3 linked regions of the Sus scrofa genome follow. Each later gene encodes a partner of the first gene's protein in a complex. Links are inferred from orthologs where the notes say so. Each region holds a gene or a part of one and is shown on either strand. Other genes may lie near its edges.

Region 1 (3,552 bases):
CTCTTTGTGAGTGGGTTCAAGAAGAGGGTGAGGAGGTGTTTAATATGTTATCATGTGGAAAACCATGTAACTTTTTTGAGGGTAGAGGGTGGAGTGCGTATTTGGATAATTCTTGGTCTTCAGTAAATTGGATGCTGCCTTTGTATCTAGTGCTTATATACAACATCTGTACATTCATTAATTTAGAACCAGCTTATGCTGTATTAATTATTGTGCATCGACTTCCATTCTCTCCGCAATTCACTACTTGTTTGTAATAGTACCATGTAGTTATTGAGTGATAGGAGATTAAAGTAAGTAAGTTCATTTTTATCTCAAAAAGTTTGAAATAGCTGACTAAAAGAATATTTTCTGTCTTGCATTGTTAACCTTACAAGTTGGCAATATTTATTGCTACTGTTGGGAGATGATGGATGAGAAGCGGAGAATTAAAGTCATGTGCATTACTGAGAAATATTCACTTATATCTTTTAAAAATTCTTTCATTAAAAGCGGTACTTGCCTTTAATATTATACAATTACATTTTTGTGCAAAGTTCTATTTTTCAGCACTAATACAGAATTATATATGTGATCGATGATCATATCATCTGTACTGAATAGTTAGTTCAAAATTCTCAAAGTTCTTTTAGTTTTTGCACTGTTCTTTTCCTCAGCAGATACTTTACAGATTAAAATGTCAAAAATTATTGTCCTTATCTGCTTTGGCGTCTCAGTTTTTAGTTTCCCAGCGCACCATCCAGCTTTGACAGTCCTCTCCCCGCTCCATTCAGATTCTTGCTAACTCTTCAAGAGAACTTTGATGATGCTTTCAAAAAAGTTTTCTGTAGCTCTTGACTCCAGCAGAGACACTCAGCATATCCACTTGTAACTCTTGGGGCCCAAGTCAATGAGGATTACTGTGGCTAAAGTAGCCAAATTTTGTGTGGGTGTGTTCACAGGATATAGCGCAGCTTGCTCCTCACTTGTTCTGAGTGAAGTCATGGCCCACTCCTTTGAGAGCCATTAGCTGCTGCAGATCAGCAGATTGGCTCTTCAGATAGAGCAACCCGGAGTTCCCGTCGTGGCACAGTGGTTAACGAATCCGACTAGGAACCATGAGGTTGTGGGTTCGGTCCCTGACCTTGCTCAGTGGGTTAAGGATCTGGCGTTGCCATGAGCTGTGATGTAGGCTGCAGACACGGCTTGGATCCCACATTGCTATGGCTCTGGTGTAGGCCGGCGGCTACAGCTCTGATTAGACCCCTATCCTGGGAATGGCTCTAGAAAAGGCAAAAACAAACAAAAAAACAAAAACACAGCAACCTGAATCTAAGGTAAAAGAACTGTGTACTCTGAAAGCATTTTTCTCAAATGCTGATGGGGGCATTCATAAATGAAGTACAGTTCAATATATTGCACATCTGTGGTCAACGGGCGTTTTCATCGCTAAACTTTGTGAGGTATTTTGAAACAATTTTTCATATACAGGTCAATTTGTGTTAAGAGGGCTTGATAGCGTTTGGGTTATATTAACCTCATATGTGGCACATGTTCTAATTTAGTCACATTTTCATTATTTTTATTATAAGGCCTGCTGAAAATGACTGAATATAAACTTGTGGTAGTTGGAGCTGGTGGCGTAGGCAAGAGTGCCTTGACAATACAGCTAATTCAGAATCACTTTGTGGATGAATATGATCCTACGATAGAGGTAAATCTTGTTTTACTGTTATGCATATTGACTTGTGCAGGCCCATCCTTTGGGTACAAAAAAGGTTTCTCTGGTCATTTTCTAAAACTACGCATTACAAGACAGTTATTCTGATAATACCTAAGTTATCTGCAATGCACTTGGGTTTCAAGGCTTTACTCTGATGTTATATGTAACCACAGACATGGAGAGCCCAGTGTTGAGTCTTCAGTCTTCTCTGGGGAGAATAATACCATCTGCAATGTTCACTCTGAGCTAGTATATGTGCATTTTGATTGAAAGTGTACTTGTGAGTTTAGCAGAGGGTGAAAATGTGAACTTACATCCTATTTGTAAAAAGAGACATATCTAACAGTTATTTTCCTAAAAATGTGGCTATTGTCCGTATGGGGTTTTGGTGTTTTGGGGGTATATTTTGATGTCACATGTTGAATTGATGGGTACTGGTAAAGTGGAATCATTTGATGATGGAATTAAAAACACTTAATTAGTAGTATTTTCAAGTTTTCTCTTCACATTGAAGTACTGGAGAACCTGCAGCTACCTGTGTGTTTTAGAAAAGCTCATTCTTTTATGTATGTGTATGTTGGGTGATGTATAAGGGTAGGTACCACACTAGTCCTTACCTTTCCTGTGCAGTCCTTTTTCAGTGTACTGAAGGAAATATTAGAATTGTTTTTATTACAAATCAATTACTGTAATTTTCAGGCTTTTTCAGTTTCATGAGAATGTACCAAAAGCAAGGCCAACAGCATAATGATAGAATAAAGGCCTGGCAGAGATCTTGAGAGGTCAAATGATCTCAAGCAGATAGGGATTTATTTAATCCTAGAGACCTGCAAGGAGGGAACGGCACCTAACTGTGTTAACTAATTTCCGAAATGTAATTAGCATATTTTATGCATAATGTGAATCTTCCTGTTAAGTTTAACATAGCATCAGTTTGTCTTTGAAATAGATTTATGCTGTTAAATTATTTCCAAAAACTTCTTTACCCCAGCTTAAGTAATCCTAATTAATCCCTTACTTTTTATTCTAGATCTGATATACCAGTTTTTTAAATCAGCTCTGAAAAATGTCCCAGAATTTTCTCTGAGTCTCAAGCTACAGATTGTAGAACAGGTCAGAATGCCCTGTTAGGATGTTGTATAAAGTCTTCAAGAAACACCTTGACCACACTGAGGTAGATTCAAAGGGCATGGTTAGCCTTTTAAGACGTTTATGCAGGGTAGAACTTTGAGGATTGATTAGATAACTGCTCATAAGGAAATGTCAAATATTTTTGGTACTGCAGGGGAAGAAAATGGAAAATAACCCGTATTTGCAAAGATCTGATTTAAACATAGAAACAGCTTTTATTTGGCTTCCAGGTTTAATAATTTGCAGTAGCAAATGGAAAGAGTCTAACTAAGTGGACCACATATGTAATAGTCTCTATATTTCTTCTTGGCAAGTCACTTCAGTGCTGATGGTTTTATTTTTTTCCTTTGAGGAAGATTAAATAGTTCACCTATTTCTTGTCTTTTCTTCTTTTTTTTTTTTTTTTTTTTTTTTTTTTTTTTTTTTTTTTTTTTTTTGGCATTTCTAGGGCCACACCTGTGGCATATGGAGGTTCCCAGGCTAGGGGTCTAATCGGAGGTGTAGCCGCCAGCCTAAGCCACAGCCACCACAACTCGGGATCCAAGCCACGTCTGCAACGTACACCTCAGCTCATGGCAACACCGGATCCTTAACCCACTGAGCCAGGCCAGGCCAGGGATCGAACCCACAACCTCATGGTTCCTAGTCGGGTTCGTTAACCACTGCACCACAACAGGAACTCCTATTTCTAAAGCCAAGGTTACTAGGCATACTCCACC
Region 2 (4,346 bases), on another chromosome or scaffold:
TACAGCCGCGATGAGCTCCCTGCCCCGGCGACAGGGACCGCCTGCTCCGGCTTCTGGGGCAGTCAGGCCAGGATGCCTCCTGTTCCCCCGGACCGTCTCCCCACAGCCTTCCATGCCTGGAGGCGCCCCCGGGACCCTGCTCAGGGCCACCTCGTCCTCGCCTCTTCTACACACGCGCTGCGGCGCGCGCGGCATTCAAGAGAGGGTATACGCATCGCACTGGACTGTAATCAAATATCTCCTCCACTCTAGCCGCGTACACTGTGGTTTAAAACCAAGTTATGTGGAGGTTTTTTCTGGGGTCTGTTGGATAACAAACCAGGAGAGGAAATCGCAGATAAGCGGGGGATTACCGCAGGGTTCCGTCCTACCCGCGGTTTTGGCATCTGCGGGGGCGGAGGGTGCTTTGAAGGTATCCCCGGGGACTTCTGTATATTACATTTTAAAGCTATTTAAAGGCAAGGGCCTAAACAGAAAGTACCGAGTCTTAAGCCTTCAGATATCCCCCAACCCTGGCACAAACCCAGCACACAGTAAGCATTTCATGAATGAATGAATGACCCATCGCAGGCCTTTCCTCTGCACTGGGCTGTGACTCCCCAAGAGTAGAAGCAGCTCCTGTTCATCTCTATAGTCTTGCCACTTCCTGTCAGCACCCAGCTAGGAATCGGGACCGTGGGCCAAATCCTGGCCCTGTCACTTGCAAGCTGCTGGGTCCAGGGCACCCTTCCCTCTCTGAGCCTCAGTTGGTTCATCTGTTTGTCTTTCTAAGGCCACACCTGCAGCATAGGGAAGGTCCCAGGCTAGGGATCAAGTCAGAGCTGCAGCCACAGCGACACTGGATCCAAGTCACATCTGTGACCTATGCTGGAGCTTGTGACAAAGCCGGATCCTTAACCCACTGATCAAGGCCAGGGATTGAACCCAAATCTTCGTGGACACTGTATCCGGTTCTTAAGCCGCCTGAGCCACAATGGGAGCTCCTGTTCATCTGTAAAACGGAATGGTGATAATATTGAACGCCACATGAGATAATATATAAAAATACACTCCCCAAAGGGAGAGTAGCAGATGAAAGGAGGCCCCTACCATGGGAGCTGATGTCTGGCCTGGGGTAAGTCCTCACTCAAGACACCTGAGCCGTTGTTAACAGGAGTGACCCATGCTCATCAACATCACACATTACTCACCAGATTCCTGGCAAGGAGAGTCAGAGGCGATATAAATAAATACCAGAGCTTTATGTGCATTTCTACTCACCCAACAAAATGTGCATATTGAACAAATTACTATCTGGAAGGCAGTCCGAACCCAGGATGGAGAGGTTCAGATCTGAGGAAACAAGACCGATTTCTGCCTCGCTTCTTCCAGTATTGCCCAGATGTCACTGCCTTCACTTTTTTTCTCCCCTGTTGCTCTGCCGGGAAAAACAAGACAAAAAGCCCACTGAGGGGCAAAGATGTCAAGGAAGTGATTTTTACCTTTCATGCAGCTCTCAAAAGAGGAGTTCCCCAGAGGAGCTCCCACTGTGGCTCAGCGGGTTAAGGACCTGACATTGTGTCTGTTGCGGTGGCTGTAGCATAGGCCCCAGCTGCAGCCGCGATCCAAGCCCTGGCCCAGGAACTTCCATGTGCCCCAGTGCAGCCATAAAAAAAAGAAAAAAGGAAAAGAAAAGCCCTAGGACTGAGAAGCTACACACGATCCTGACACTGTCACCAGCAGGACAGTCCTTAAGCCCCACTCCAAGTCCATGGCCATGACCCGGGTGGACAGCCAAATTCAAAACAGCTGGGATCAATCTGCCATCTGCCTCCAAAGGCTCCAGGCTTTTCTGCAACCACAGCCATGGAGCTCTGTTCTTCTTGTGATGGATGGAAGACATTTTTAATTACTTGCAATCTCTCCAAATCATGAAGTCTCTGCCTTGAGGAGGAGGATGGCTCCTCCGGGAGACCCCATTGTTGGGCTGTCTCTAAGAAAGGACAGGTGAGCAAGTGGGAGGAAATGGCCCAAGGCTATGTGCTGTGTCGCAGGTGTGAGACCCCGTGGGGATTCTGAGCGGGTGGGGTAGATTCGAGAAGCAAGGCCAGGGCGAGGAGAGGGAAGAGGGGAGGAGAAGGTAGGCAAACCGATTTAAGGGAGCAGAATCCATAGAAGGGTTTCATGGTAACACAAGGGCTTCTGACATCTAACAGCAGCTCATAACCGGAACCAAGGGGAAAGGTGCTCCATCGCCAACTGAACACAGGCTTTTTACGTGTATCCAGGCCACTCTGGGCAGGCTTTGTGAATACACCCTCTTTCCGTTTGCTCTGAGCAGAAAAATCAGGGTTTTGGGAAGTATCACTTCCTCCTAAATTGCCTAGCTCTGAACCCCAAGTCCTGCTGAAGAGAATAAACCCCCTGTTGAGAGGCCCTGAAGAGCTTCCTCTGCATAAATGGGAAGCAAAACTACCTCTCTTTCCCCTTCAAAGCACATTCCTGCAGTGTTCCAGGCTCTCATTCCACTGTGTTGTTAAATGGCCAGTCTGGGGAGCTGATAACTGCAGTGGACATTGGTTTGTGTCCAGTAGTCTTTCATCTGGTGACTACATAGTGGTGGAGCTGACGATCACAGGAACCCATCGCCCTGACTAGGACGCATGTGACCTACATCTGGCTGATTATCATGCCTCAGCCCTTAGGCAACAGTCAAGTCACCCTGGAAGGAGCATAGGACCCAAGGCAGACCAGTTAGAATCTTTCTCTGGGATGGAGGTGTGTGTATATATATATACATATGTATCACACACACATTTTTTAAACAGGCAATGAGTCAAAAAGCCTCTTTCCGGAGTTCCCATCGTGGCGCAGTGGTTAACGAATCCGACTAGGAACCATGAGGTTGCGGGTTCGGTCCCTGCCCTTGCTCAGTGGGTTAACGATCCGGCGTTGCCGTGAGCTGTGGTGTAGGTTGCAGACGCGGCTCGGATCCCATGTTGCTGTGGCTCTGGCGTAGGCCGGTGGCTACAGCTCCGATTCAACCCCTAGCCTGGGAACCTCCATATGCCGCGGGAGCAGCCCAAGAAGTAGCAACAACAACAACAACAACAACAACAAAAAGACAAAAGACCAAAAAAAAAAAAAAATTCAAAAAAAAAAAAAAAAGCCTCTTTCCTCTGGGGACATTAAAGGGGATGATGCAAGCCTGCCCTCCCCCACAGCATGGAGGAAATCCATCTGCACGCGTAAATCACACAGCCGCTGTACACAGGAGACTATAGCTATGCTGACATTTGAGTTCTTCTCATGCCTCACGTCACTTTAATTTCTAGACATCCAATTACAAGAAACTTTTTCCTAGGTACAATTCTTTTTTTTTTTTAAGCTAATTCAGGTTGGACTTTTTCTTTGGCAAATTGTTTATGGTAATCAAAGGCAAGAATGTCAATGCACCAGCAAGTAGTTTGCTTGATATCCCACCCACAACCCACACACGTGACCACTTTCCCCCGCCCTGGTCCTTCCCATTCCCCAGCTTAAGCTGATGGAGGAAGCAACACTCCCCATGCTCTTTGTATCACATCATAAGTTGAGTCTTCCAGGGTTCCCGTCATGGCACAGTGGTTAACCAATCCGACTAGGAACCATGAGATTGCGGGTTCGATCCCTGGCCTTGCTCAGTGGGTCAAGGATCCGGCATTGCCGTGAGCTGTGGTGTGGGTCACAGACGCAGCTCGGATCCCGCGTTGTGAGGGTTCTGGTGTAGGCCAGTGGCTACAGCTCCGATTTAGACCCCTAGCCTTGGAATCGCCACATGCCACAGGAGCAGCCCTAGAAAAGGCAAAAAGACAAAAAAAAAAAAAATAAAAAGTTGAGTCTTCCCCTTCACTACTAAACTGTGATAAGCTCAGTGCAACTCCCAGCCTGGTGCCTGACATACACTCAGGTTGGATGGAGGCTACTTGACCCCATGCAGTGGGTCTCAAAGGAGGGAAGAAATCTTTTTATTGTAGGGCTACAGGGAGTATGTCCAGGGATTAGTCAGTATCTGAGAAGTTCAAGCCAACTTCCCCACCGCCTCCAAGGTCGCCAGTGAAAGGAAAAGCCTTTCATAAAGCTCTACCTCCTTCCACTCCCTTTAGCCTGTTGGCTCAGAGGCGGCAACCATATCAAAGAGCTACAAATTCATGGCCCTCGCAAGTCCATGTTACCGGAAATAAAATCTGGGTCCAATCTTATGCAATACCGCCAACAGCACGGCTTGCTCCCGCGTTCGCTAGGAAGATACTAATTCGGTATTGTTCTGTAGGACAGAGAAAGCGGCCTCCCTCGAACCACGCGACCACCATCTCTGACACAGTTTT
Region 3 (4,013 bases), on another chromosome or scaffold:
GTCCCTAACAGCTTACCACCCTGGTGGGTGGTACCTCAACCCCAAGTACAGAGCAGGAAACGCCTGACTTGAAACAGCCGGGGAAGCCCAAAGCAACGACCGCCCGTGTCAGCAGCCCAGCAGACCCGTGGCAGAGGAAACCATTGCTGCCGGGCATCCTGCCTTAAACGCCAGGAATTGCAAGTCACATGTTGCCTCGGTCTTAACGTGAAGTCCAGGGCAGTTTTGCTTCCTGTCCTCCTTCACACCCCACCTTTGAATGCTGCTCAAAACACTGAAAATTTTCTGAAACATGAAGCTAGTAAAGACAGGACACCCGAGCATAATCTTCACGGCTCTCAAGCCCATCAGCTGTGAAGCCTGAGTGGGGCCAGAATAAGACCACGTGAAACCACACCCCACCCTCCTCTATTCGCCTGCCACTATGCTCCTTCTCAAGGCTGTCCGCCCTCTGAGCATTGCTTCTAGCCCCAGATGAAGAATTCCTTCCTTCTTTGCATGAGGGTGTTTGCCCAAGCGTTTCGTTCCTCACACCCCCTTCAGTTGGGATGTGATGAAGGATCCATCCGGCAATAAAGAGTAACTCGCTTGATCCCACCTGATACTTTCAAATCTCAATGGAAAAAAAAAAAAAGTTTTATTTATGGAAGCAGTGTTTCTCCAAAGACCCAGCATTCTCCACACACTGTACATGAAGTCATGGGCACAAAGCACACCTTTGCCTCCTCATGGGCTGTGGAAAGGAGGTGACAATGGGAAATCTGCCATCCCCGCCACCATAGGAAGCAGATTTGGAATGTCAGGCCCCCCGAGCATTCCAGGTACTTGGTACAGGAACGGAGTAGGACCAGGGATGTCAGCATCAACAGGAGAAAGACAGGGAGAGGAAGGGGTGCCATCCGGGCAAAATGGCTCTTGTCTAACACTGGGCTATTTTCTGGTCCTGTAATTCTGTGCTACGTTCTGCCACTCCATCCCCACTCTATTTGCCAAGTACCTCAAGATGTTTCCAAGAGGTTCTGAATTATTGACAAACCTAGGGAGATATTTGGAAAACAGACCAGTACTGCTACTGCAAACACTTGGTCACTGTAGTTTCCTTTTTTAAGGTTAAAAGAGATGATAGGAGGAAAGGGGGGGGAGGGAAAGCCTGCCTCTGCTAAATAATGATATTCACAGAACACAGACACTGCAAGCCCAAAGTTCACAGTCTCTCCAGCTTTACTCACCCCTAGCCATCTTGCTCCTTTATTGGCAGCCTGTTGAATCTGGACTCTTTTGAGGGTGACATGGTAAACAGCTCCTTCCTCTACCTCTTCACCCCAGTCCTGAATCGAGCTCTGCCAGGGGGTGGGACAAAAAGAAAGAAAAAGAGTATTTTTTTTTTTTTTCCTCTCTGCTAACCGCAATCTATCCCAGCTGCTTACAACAGCACTCGGGACATAAAAGATGGGGCTGTTCAAAAAATATGTATATATATCACAATCAGAGCAACACAGGACACATTGCAACAGAGGGAATGCGGGGATTTTCTTGGCCCCCAGCCCTTTCCTGCGGTATCAGGAGTCCCGGACTTTCCCATTTAGTTATTTTTCCTAGACTTGCTCACATATCTTAAATGGTTTTTTAAAAAGTCTTCTCTTTCCCCCTTCTTAAAGAAACGGTGGTTTAGTCCTGATTAACTTTTCCTCCTTAAGTGCGAGGAAAAATAAGTCATTCGCAGGAAAAGTTTGCCCTTTTCTAAGTGGCTCCGTTATTTGAGCAAACTACATTTTAAACACTGCCAAAACAAGTGTTTAAAATGCCAAGAGTGCTCGCTCCTTTGGAGTGAAATGCTTTGCATGTCCTTTTTTTTTTTTTTTTTTTTTTTTTTTTTTTTTTTCTCCTCTCATTGTTTGGGAACCCAAAAAGTTAGCGGGAGGTAGAAAGTTTTTATTTCTGTCAGATCATCTGGCAAGTGCAGAAAAGGCACACATCAAGTCTGTGCAGCGGGACCCCCTGGGTTTCCCTGTCCCCAGCTAAACTTGAAGTTTGTGTTTAAAGAGCCGCCGGGACGCAGAAGTGCCCGCGGTTCACGCAGACGCACAGTCCTCCTGGCTTAAAAGTTTTCCTTTGCTAACACACATCTGCCCCAGACACACCAAAGGCAACTGCTGAGAAAGTTTGGTTTAAAGGGAGAAGACACGCAGAGAGGAAGGCGTAGGAAGCCGAGGGAGAAAGCCTGACCTCCCAAGTAAGGGATCGGATTGCTCCGTGCACTCCGAGCAAGTCCAAAACCCGCCCAGAGAAAGCGGGAGAAGATTCCCCACCAGAGCCGCCTCGGAGAAGGCAGAGAGTTCGCGTTACCATTTTAGCTTGCCAAAGCAATTTCATTCTCAGTTTTCTCTCCGGTGTGTGGACGCGGCATGGTGCGCCCTGCTTCCAGGCAAACGCAGTCCCCGCCCGGCTCTGCCGCGGCGCCTCCGGCCCCAGCCCCGAGCGGCCGCGGCGCACCGAACACAGACACGCGCCCGCCGCCCCGCCGCCGCCGCCGCCGCCGCCGCCGGTGCGCGCAGCTCGGCCACAAAGGGAGCGCAGCGAGCGAGCGAGCGAGCGAGGGCGCCGCAGACTCCTCCCCACGCCACTCCGCCGCTCCGTGATGTCAGGCTTTCCTGTTTGTGCTGCGGAGCACACGCTCCCTCTCGGAAATCCCATGGATAAAGTTAGCGTGCGGTATTTCTCCAGTTCTGAAGGTGATCGGCAGACAACCACCCTTTCAAGTGGATCGGGTTTGCCTGATTGGCCACAGACCAGGTGCCTAAAACGACCCGGGTGTGGTCTGTGGGATCCAAGCGTGTTTCTCCTTCCTTAGCGCGAAGAAATAAAGGGGGAGGGGGAGATGCAAAAAGGATGGGAGGAGGGGATCATTAAAACGTCTAATTATCCGCCGGTTACCTATTGAATGAGATTCCATCAGAGCGACCCCATGAGAACGGCAATACTGGAAGCCCAGAAGTGTTTCATTCGAACAAAAACAGAACTGGTCAGAAGGTATTCCAAAACCCATACCCAAAGGCTGTCCCCTGTCCCGCATCAGCACACTACCAACAGGAAGTTGCCCTGGACTTCTTTCTTCCACCCAATGAAGAGGCTCATCCAACAGCAACTGGTCATTGTGGGAGGGAAAGGGACAAAGCAGGAGAGGGTTTTGCTGAGACTGACAGCGAGGAAAGTGGGCCCCCGACGTTCTGTGAGTCTTTGGGAGCAGTCACCAGGGGTTGAGTTGTCTGTACTGCTGGGACACAGTGGGATAGTACCTCGGGGAAGAGCCATTCATGACGAGCCCGCCAGGAGGAGTTTTGTCATCACATTAAGTAAATCAGCAGCCCCATACCAGATGGTAATGCAGTTAAACTTTGGCACCTAACAGAATTTCATGTCAATTGCAAAGACGTCTAGGGCGCCTGTCTTTTATACTACTCACCCCTAAATGAATTTAATCGCCTTTCAATTTCTTTTTCTAAAGAAAGTCCTCTCATTAATGGCCATGCTAAGGCATAAGGCTGGCTTTGGTGAAGAATATATTATGAACCGAAAAGCTAGAGAATCAAATATGCTGATGTTCCCAGGAGAGCAAAATAAATAAGAGTGAGGGTGCATCAAGGAAAAATAAAAAGATCTTTGAACCGTTGAGAACATCCTGAAGTCACTCAGCAAAGTTCCTTCCCCTCATACAACCAGAACCTAGAGAGCTCAGTAACTGTGGAGAGAAGGGATGCTCTTTTTATAAAACCCGAAGGGGTTGCTTCCAGTTTTTGAAAAACTCACGTAGACTAGATGCTTCTGTGATCACCAGTTTAGAGTGTTCCCAGTGTCCAGAGCAAAATCGTGTGGAAACCTACCTCTATGCTTCTTAAGCCATCCTCAGTCCCCCGGCCCACCCCTATTCAGTGATCTTGAAGAATACAAGATGCACCTGGGGACAGTTAAGCAACCCATAAGGTCAATTTCACCACTACTTTAACCTAATTTTT

What was found.
Region 2: the proteins of KRAS (region 1) and PLA2G16 are in contact, whole or in part, in a crystal structure (PDB 7C41), measured with the Homo sapiens proteins. The link is inferred for Sus scrofa from reciprocal best matches to the Homo sapiens genes KRAS and PLAAT3. Residues at the interface, in NP_001356715.1 of Homo sapiens: Ala11, Gly13, Lys16, Ser17, Tyr32, Asp33, Pro34, Thr35, Ile36, Thr58, Ala59, Gly60, Gln61, Asn85, Asn86, Lys88, Asp92, Tyr96, Lys117; in NP_001121675.1 of Homo sapiens: Leu65, Tyr66, Asp67, Val68, Ala69, Gly70, Ser71, Asp72, Lys73, Tyr74.
Region 3: the proteins of KRAS (region 1) and RGL1 are in contact, whole or in part, in a crystal structure (PDB 7SCX), measured with the Homo sapiens proteins. The link is inferred for Sus scrofa from reciprocal best matches to the Homo sapiens genes KRAS and RGL1. Residues at the interface, in NP_001356715.1 of Homo sapiens: Ile24, Gln25, Glu31, Asp33, Pro34, Thr35, Ile36, Glu37, Asp38, Ser39, Tyr40, Arg41, Leu56, Tyr64, Met67; in NP_001284600.1 of Homo sapiens: Ile651, Arg653, Asn660, Gly661, Asn662, Met663, Tyr664, Lys665, Ser666, Ile667, Met668, Lys685, Asn687.

The regions. Positions count from the first base shown.
Region 1 is NC_010447.5:48,511,803-48,515,354, forward strand, and holds part of KRAS (GTPase KRas), read left to right. Parts: intron 1-1,571; 5' UTR 1,572-1,582; coding exon 1,583-1,693; intron 1,694-3,552. UniProt on the Homo sapiens protein: Ras proteins bind GDP/GTP and possess intrinsic GTPase activity. Plays an important role in the regulation of cell proliferation.
Region 2 is NC_010444.4:8,409,013-8,413,358, reverse strand, and holds the start of PLA2G16 (HRAS-like suppressor 3), read right to left. Parts: upstream 2,820-4,346; 5' UTR 1-2,819. UniProt on the Homo sapiens protein: Exhibits both phospholipase A1/2 and acyltransferase activities. Shows phospholipase A1 (PLA1) and A2 (PLA2) activity, catalyzing the calcium-independent release of fatty acids from the sn-1 or sn-2 position of glycerophospholipids.
Region 3 is NC_010451.4:125,004,686-125,008,698, reverse strand, and holds the start of RGL1 (ral guanine nucleotide dissociation stimulator-like 1), read right to left. Parts: upstream 2,820-4,013; 5' UTR 2,695-2,819; coding exon 2,347-2,694; intron 1,341-2,346; coding exon 1,230-1,340; intron 1-1,229. UniProt on the Homo sapiens protein: Probable guanine nucleotide exchange factor.